2 linked regions of the Mus musculus genome follow. The protein of the gene in region 1 purifies or fractionates together with the protein of each later gene. This does not show direct contact. Links are inferred from orthologs where the notes say so. Each region holds a gene or a part of one and is shown on either strand. Other genes may lie near its edges. The genes, in order: Tmub2 and Rnf185.

Region 1 (4,256 bases):
CCATCATCTGAGGAACAAGTCACGAGCAACTGGCCTCTCTCCGGCCTACTCACCTTTTTAGGGTACCCACAGTGTCCTCTGGCCTGGCCACAGCTAGCTCCTCGGTGTCATTGAGGAACTTGAGGCGAACATTGATGAGGCTGGGGCTGGGAGAGAGGCAGGAGCCATCATCTAACCCCAGCGGGGCTTCTGGGCGACTGCTCCCCAGGCCTGCTTGCCTTTTAGGCAGGCCTTGGATGTCCAGGAGATGCTCCAGGCTGGGCTCCATCTCTCCCCTAGCTCCAGGTTCTCCAGTGGCGTCTCCCCCACTGTCACTGGTCTCTTCAGCCTTGTCATCATTGCCCCCTGATGGATGGGGGTGTTCGGTTGGCTCTGGAGTGCCTTGGTTTACCAGCTGGTCCACATGGCCCAGGTGGAGAACAGACGTGTCACCTGCTGACACAATGGTGCCCAGCAGCTGGTTGTTACCACTGTCTGCTACATAGGTGGAGAGCCAGGCTAGGACCAGGGCTAGAGTCAGCGCCACCACGCCTGCTACCACCATCACCTCGTTACCCACACCCTCAATGAGGGTGACATCAGAGAGCTCCATGGCCTGGCTGCTGACTGGGTCCACGCTGCAGGAACAAAGGGGGATAGCATTAGGAGGGCCTGAGGGCTTATAGTCAGGTTTCTACTTTGTTTAGGTTCTGAGGCAGGCTGGGGTTAAAAAAAAAAGAAAAAAAAAAAAAAGGAAAAAAGGATGGGGGCTTGGTGTTGTGTAGGAAGGGCAGCCAGCCAATTTCCTAACAGTAGTAGACCCTCAATCTCAAGCTAAGGACTGACTTACCCTTGGCCCCTCTGCCTTTACCGTGAAACTCTAGCTTTCAGATTCTGTGCTCATAAGAAGCATGGGTCACCAGAAAAGCCTCATAACCTTGTTACCAGCTGCTGATTGCTCACTTGTTTGTTTTTGTATTTGGAGAATAATGGAGAAGGAACATTTGCTGCTTCTCTTCAAGACAGGGTTTCTCTGTGTAGCCCTAGCTGTCTTGGAACTACCGCTCTATAGACCAGGCTGGCTTCAAAATCACTTGCCCCTATCGGAGTATTGGGCCTAAAGGCCACCACTGCCCGGCTTACATTTTGCTTCTTTAAGCTTGGAGTTTCTCTAGGATTCCTAACACATGACCAAGCACATCTGCATGCACCCAGCAGCCTCAGTGGTAGCTTCAGATTAGAAAGACTCTTTAATGGGCATTGTGCGGCCACCCTTGCCAGATTTCCTTTGGATTACATCTCATTCATGGCCACACACCCATTCATGCCCACACACCCATTCATGCCCAGATGTCAAGAGCCAAATACATAAATATACTCTGATCTATCAAGGATAGGATCAGATCACTTCAAATGGACAAATGTACTGGGACTATCAGCAGACATGTTTGTCTATTAAACTGTTCTGGCAAATTCTGGGGAGCCACATAGGACAGTCACCAGAAACACTACACGCTTTAGTCTCCATAGGCTTGGCTTTATAACTGCAAAACCGCTGTTCTACATGCCCTGGTTATCCCAGAACTTGGGAAATAAAGGAACTAAGGATACAAGGTTCAAGACAAGTCTCCACTACTTAGCAAGTTCAAGGCTGCCTAAGGCTACACGAGACAGCTTCAAGAAAACCATTGCCCAAGTAGAAATTATTTGGAAATACTTCCCAACGGTTCCCACTATCCTTCTTTCAATCTGTCTTGTGCTATGAAGGTTTTCCCTCTCTGCGGCTTCTGAGAAAGCATTGGAGGCTCTCTGCATATTCCTCGGAGTACCGTCTCTTTTCCTTGGAGAATCTACGTTCACAGCTGTCTCTGGGCAAATCCATCTGGTGATTATCATCATCAGACTACTCTCACAGCACCCACAAAACATCATTACACTCATAACCTGTCCATTTCTTCATTGACTCCTGGAAGATAAGAACCGAGGGTAGTTCTCTTTGTTTGAAGCTCTTAATGCAATGTCACAGTAGCTGCTCAAGGAATATTTGTAGAACACACCAACACTCTCAGAAGCGTTTCCACAGCCTTATTTACACAGATTGGCCCTGGAGTCAGGGAAGCGATTCTGGGTCACTGTCTAGCCCCTCTTCTAGCTATGCAATGTCCAGCAACGTTCTCAAAGCCTCAGCTTTCTCAACAGTAAAGTGGGGTTTAAAATGGTTACCTACCTCATAAGGTTGTTTTGAAGAAGACGTGAAATCATCGAAGCAAAAATAATTAACACTGTTCAATAAACAAATGATAGCAATTACGTCTCACTCCCATAACTAACCCCTGTTGGTCAGGTTAGTGTCAGGAACCGTGATGTACACAAAAGGAAACTGTGGCAAAGACAGATGGAAGCGGAGGACACAAGGAACTGCCGCGGGCAGGGGCCAGATAGGGGACCTGCATCTGTCTGACCAAGGCCTCGGCTTTCTCCTCAGCCTGTGGACGATCCTGACCGCACTGTGGGGAGTCGTCCCCGACCGTGCTTTTTTCTGGGGTGAAGGTTCTGCGTCTGAAAGGTCCTATTCCCTTGGCAGTGGAGTCCATCAGCACCCCCCACCCCACCCCCGAGCCGAGGAGCTTCCGGGTTTCGGTCGCAGTGCCCAAGCCCGACTCTCCGGGACAGTGATGGTTTAGGGTCAGGTGAAGAAGCGAGGGTCGGGAGGTAGGGGGGTCACAAACCATCCACACCCCTCAAACTTCGGGGCGGGGCAGAGGAGAGGGGGCGGAGCTTGAGGACGCGAGGAGTCATGGGAGATTAAAGGGGGTTTGGATGGTTACTGTGCCTCGATGGGGAAGGAAAGCCTCACCTGACAAAGCCAGGATAAATGTTTTGACTTCGCCAGGACAGTCTTTGTAGTTCTCTTTCCGTAGGGGTCAGGGGAGGGGCTGGCAACTCAGGATTCTGTCCAGGGTCCGATCTCTTCCGGCTTTTCTCGGAAGCTGTTAACATCCAGGACAGGAAGTCCCGCCTCCCCGCCTTGTACTGATGACGCAAAGCTACGTAAGGCGGACTGACGTAAACGTAATCTTTAAATAAAAGGGCCAGGTTGCGCCGCGGCAGAAGGGGAGGAGTCATTGTTGGCGGGATTTCGGACCTCCGGCAGTAAGACCACGCCCATTAGGCGTGGCCTCGGACCTCCTGGAGGTCGGAGGCGGGGCCAAAAGAGAAGAGGCGGGGGAAGGTGTTTGTGGGGGGCGTGGTTTCATGCTTAGACGATTGCCCTGGCAAGCTCTCCTGGTCCACCCGCCGCTAGGTTTCCTTCTTTCCCGCCTGGTTTTTCCTTCCGGTTTGGTTCTCTAGCTCCAGAGCTAATGAGATTCATTACTGCTTCGCCAATGCACACCAGGCTCCAAGGTTGGGAGCGGTAAAGTCTGCTATTTTTGACTTCTAAGACAGTTGTTCCTCGAGGAGATGGGCAAGAATACAAATTAAAGTCTTAAGTACTTGAAGATTTCTACCTCGTATAGCTTTAATAAATGAAGCGGGAAGGCATTTTAAAGAGATACAAATACAGTGCCCTCAGCCGGGCAGTGGTGGCACACGCATTTAATCCCAGCACTTGGGAGGCAGAGGCAGGCTGATTTCTGAGTTCGAGGCCAGCCGGGTCTACAAGTAGTGAGTTCCAGGACAGCCAGGGCTATACAGAGAAACCCTGTCTCGAAAAACAAACAAACAAACAAAAAACAAATAGAGTGCCTTCTTAAGAAAGGATTTTTTTTCTTTTACTTGTTTCTATGTGTATGCCGCGTGTGTGGGTACTTGCAGAGCCCAGAAGAGGGCATTGGATCTCCATGAGCTAGGGTTACAAGAGGTTGTAAATCGCCAGTCTTGAGTGCTGGGGAGAGAACTCAGGTCTTCTGGCAAGAAGAACAAGTGCTCTTAACCATTGAACCATCTCTCCAAGTCTATCACCCTGGATTAGTTTTTCCTTTTTTTTTTTTTTTTTTTGGTTTTGTTTGATTGTTGATTCACTATGTAGAAGAGCAAGCAGCCTTTCTCAACCTTTGAGTCTAACGACTCATTCAGAGGTCGCATATCGGATTTTATATTAGTATTCATAAGAGTAGCAAAATTACAGTTGTGAAGTAGCACCAAAAATAACTTTACAGAGAACCAGTGTAGTGGATGATCTTTCCCATCTGGGCACCACCATGAGATTAACCCAGTGTTTTGATGGTCTTGGTCACTTTAAGAAATGTATTACATTTTATTTATTGATTGAGTAT
Region 2 (4,329 bases), about 99 Mb from region 1:
CTCGAATGTTAGGTAACAACTGAATGACCATTTCACAACTGTTTTTTTTTTTTAATCTTGAGAAACATAAACAACAGGAAAACAGGCAGGAACTTTTGGTTCAACCCCAACCTTTTGTTTTGTGGAGGAAGTGTCAGCAGAATTGGGTCATAATATGGAATCTTTGCTTCTCCAGACAACATAAGCATTCTTAAGTACTCTAATGGGAGATGGAAAAGTTATCTACTTAGTGTCTGGTAAAGTGCAAAATAAGGAAATCTAAAGTTAGATTACAAAGCTATAGGTATGCAAGTCAGGACCATAAAAGAATTGGTCATATGTGCTGGGCATCCAGAAAGCTAGCTTAAAAACTGCAGACACTCTCACACCTATACACACACTGCTAGACAAAGAATTAAAGTTCAGTTTATAAACCAGAGAGAAGACTGACCCAAACAACTGAATTGGCCTTCCATTCTGTAATCAGAGCCCACTGGCAAGCAAAGCCTTGGGCAAAACAAGCAATCCCAGCATTTGGGAGGCTAAGGCAGGGGGACCAGTTTGAAGTCACCCTGGGCTACATAATAATACTCTGGAAAAGGAAGAGAGGGATGGAGGCAGAGAGGAAGAGAGCAGAGATAGACAGAGAAAAAGACAGAGAGACACAGATAAGACAGACAGAGACTGACTTTCTAAATTGTTCTCAGCCTGAGCTGAATGTCAGAGTGAGACCCCGACTTAAAATAAATTTTAAAAACTTAAATGTAAAACAAAAATTACTAACTGACCAATGTATTAATTTTAGTTAATTAATTTTTATTTCCTGTTTATTAATACAACATATACTTTGGATAATTTTTATCAGATAATGGATCATTCCAAAAAGGATGATGAAAAGAAGGATGACAAATGTGACAACCAGTAAAAGATTACATAAGATCAAGTGTGCTGGCCTTATTGATAGGAGATATAAACTAGGGAGGAGAGTCCAGAAGGGAAGACAAAGAAATGTCACATTCTGTAGGCATAATGGTACTAAGTAACGAGTGATCCTGGCACTCTTTAAGACTGAAACAGCAGGATCCGGGTTCAAGGCCAACTACAAAAGGAGCTTGAGGACAGCCTGAGATCCCTGAGACCCTGTCTCAGACCACAAAAGAAGTATCACATACACTCTGAAGACAGAGTTATCAGTGGAGAGGTAAGAGTCACAATAAATACTAATACGAGCCTTTTAAATTGGAAAGGGCCGCCTCCTGTATACTTCCTTTCCCAAGGAGACAGTCAATCCCCATCAGTCGTCACCTCTGATAATTCTTCCGTTAAATTCTTAATAGTAAGTACACATGTGTCTTCCCCCTAGAACCTACCTATTAATCGTAGCTGTACCTCTTTCAGCTACAAAGATCAAGCAGGAGGCCTCTTTGCCATAACTCCCCCACCCAACCCCCACCCCCACCCCGCGCCAGCTTTTAAAGATAGTTAGTTATTCTCCTCCGGCGTTCTTTCCTAAGCTAGAAGTTTCATAGAATCGAGCCGGCTCCAGCTGCCTCGAATCGAGTACCGCATTCACAGCGGGACCGCACTTCGGATGAGCAGGCTTCAAACACGAGTAGGACTCCAGAGGAGAACGTTCAAAATAAGGTTTCCTAGGATCCAGACCCAGATTCGAAACAAGCTGTGGGAAAAGCCCAGGGCTGGAGAGCCGGCATCCCGGAGGGTTTCGGAGCAGGTGCTGTGGAGGCCCACGCTTTTGAGACAGCTGTGCCCGGTTGTACAGCTGTGGGAACTAGGTTCAGGGAGGTCAAAGACTTGGCCTCGAACGCACAGTGAGCTGCAGGCAGCGAACTCAAGTCCAGGTCTCCTACGCTTCACCCCAAATCTGTTCACCGCATTCCTCATCTTTCCACTCCACCAAATCGCCACCCACGAGAGAGGCGGTCCCGCCCCCGAGGCTACGGGAGTCAGGACGAGCCCCGTCTGGAAGGGGAGCTTGTGCGCACCCTTCTTTCCCTTTTCTGGGGCCTTAGTTTGCCCAATCTGTACCCACGGATGCCAGTCTGACCTTCCTTCTGGGACCTGGACAGAGCCAGACTGGATGACTCCTGGCCCTTGGCTTCAGATCCCTGAGCCTGGGAAGGGGGTCCCATGCCTCCCGGGCCCGCCGTCCCAGCTCGTCACCTACCTGCCGCCGCGGTAGAGCGAGCGCCAGCGACGCCAGCTGTCCGTTCCCCCGTCCCGGAGTAGCCGAGCCAGTCTTAGAGACGCGTCAGTCAGAAAGATTGAACCTCCGACCCCTCCTACCGGGAACTTGGTCACCTGACGCGGAGCCGCCTCTAGTAGAACAACTTCCGGTTCCAGCCGGAAAAGGCTGGTGTGCAGCGCTGCTCTCCGGCCCAGGCGCCCGGCTGGTAAGTTCCGCCCCGGGACAGGAAGGGGAGGGCGTCTGGTCTTTCCGTAGGGTTTCCTAGCGCTGGAAGAGGAGGGAAGGCAGCTCGGTGGATGGGCGAGCTCGCCTCGCCCGCGTGAAGACGTGGGAATAAATATGTGCGTACCCGCCAGCTAATCATAGCATTCATTCGGGTGATGGGTCAGAACTTCAATGTCGTTTTCGAAGCAGGCTTGGGATACATGGGACCGTGTCGCAAAAATAATGGGCGGATGAAAAAGCCAGTTCTAGAAATACCAGTTTGGAATGCCTTGTACAAGAAAGTAAGGTCAGTGGTTGTTCTGTTTTATAAAGAAGAAGAACAGGAGGAGGAGGCATGGGAAGTGGAGTAGGAAAGGGAGTAGAGAATGAGGAGAAGGGAGAGAGGCCGGCCAGGAACGCGTGAAGAGAGAGGGCGGAGGGGGAAGGGGGCAAAGAGTAAGGGAGAGGAGGGGGCGAACAGCCCCTTTTATAGTAAGCCGGGCATACCTCGCTGTTGCCAGGTAACTGTGGGGCGGAGCCTAGAAGGAATGCTAACAGTGGTGATGGATGAGAATGTGCAAAACGACCCAGGAGCTCTCTTGAAGACTCTACTAGCCAAATCTGTGAAATTTCAGTATCAAAATAATAAAGGTAATAAGAGTATAACTAATTGGAGCCCATGAGATGGTTCAGAGGTAAAGATGTTTGCTGCCAAGCCTGTCAACTCTAGTTCAGTCCCCAGAAACCCAGCGGTGGAAGGAAAGGAGTCTGGCAAGTTGTCATCAGACCTTCACATGTATACAGAGACACTTAATAAATACATGGTAATTTATTTTAAAACTAATTAGATGAACTTGTAACCAATGAGGGATTGTTTTTTTTTTACAGTAGCAAGTGCATTTATTATATTTAAAAATAACTAGAAAAATTGGTGTTTTAGCTTTCCATATATAAAAACATGTGAGTCCAGTGCAACAGTGCTCAGTGCAGGTGAGTGATTTTGCTGTGCAGCTCCTACAAAGCTGCATAGCTGTGCTGTTGCAGGGGTGGGGGGAGTGGGGGGTGGAGAGCCGGCACACCTCATTCTGTAGAACAAGAAGGGACTTCCGTCCTGCCTCGGACAAGCAGTAGCAGTAGCATTCCTGTGTGTAAGCTGAGGTAGGGCTGGCACACCGGCCTTGTATCCTGTACTGGATGGCTTTCAGCTTCTGCTTGCCAGTGTGAAAGCCCAAACGCCAGATGGCAGGTGAGCCTGCATCCTCTCCCCAGAGTCCTTGACCTTATCAATCTCTAGCTCCACCTGTGGGGGACCTGAGGGATCGGTCAGAATACTCCTCCTCCTTCTGTTCCTGGAAAAAGTAAGATTCTTTGGGGGGTTCTTAGTATCATTAATACAAGAATTTAGAAGAGACTCAAAGGAAGCTCAGGACAACTTTATTAGAGTTTGAAAAAAGCAATCAAGGCTAGTTGAAAACTCTAACAGCTGCCAGAAGATGGAGAAAAGGTCACACCTTTTAAACTAGGCATGGAATAAAATTAGACAACTTATCAAGAAATGGAAAAGGACAGGTGGTATTGGCGGTGCACACCTTTGATCCCAGCACTTGGGAGGCAGAGGCAGGCAGATCTTTGTGAGTTCCAGGACAGCCTGATCTTCAAAGCAAGTTCAGGACAGCCAGGGCTACACAGAGAAACCCAGCTCAAAAAAACAAAAACAAAAAACAGAGAGTAGGAGGAAGGGAGGGAGAGAGAGGGAGAGAAGAGAGGAAGGAAGGGAGGGAGGTGAAAACGGGCTGGAGAGATGGTTCAGCTGTGAAGACGGGGAACCAGAGGACCCAGGTTTGATTCCAAGGAACCACACACATAGTGATTCACAACCTTACCTAACTCCAGTTTCATGGGATCTGATACCCTTTTCTGGCCTCCCTGGGTGCTGCATG

Evidence for each region.
Region 2: the proteins of Tmub2 (region 1) and Rnf185 purify together in Homo sapiens (affinity purification with western blotting; 3 studies listed by BioGRID and IntAct, with this or other methods). This does not show direct contact. The link is inferred for Mus musculus from reciprocal best matches to the Homo sapiens genes TMUB2 and RNF185.

Annotation. Positions count from the first base shown.
Region 1 is NC_000077.6:102,283,669-102,287,924, reverse strand, and holds the start of Tmub2 (transmembrane and ubiquitin-like domain-containing protein 2), read right to left. Parts: upstream 2,975-4,256; 5' UTR 2,837-2,974; exon of another isoform or gene 2,262-2,836; 5' UTR 2,242-2,261; coding exon 2,207-2,241; intron 618-2,206; coding exon 54-617; intron 1-53.
Region 2 is NC_000077.6:3,450,045-3,454,373, forward strand, and holds the start of Rnf185 (E3 ubiquitin-protein ligase RNF185), read right to left. Parts: upstream 2,913-4,329; 5' UTR 2,165-2,912; intron 1-2,164. UniProt on the Homo sapiens protein: E3 ubiquitin-protein ligase that regulates selective mitochondrial autophagy by mediating 'Lys-63'-linked polyubiquitination of BNIP1.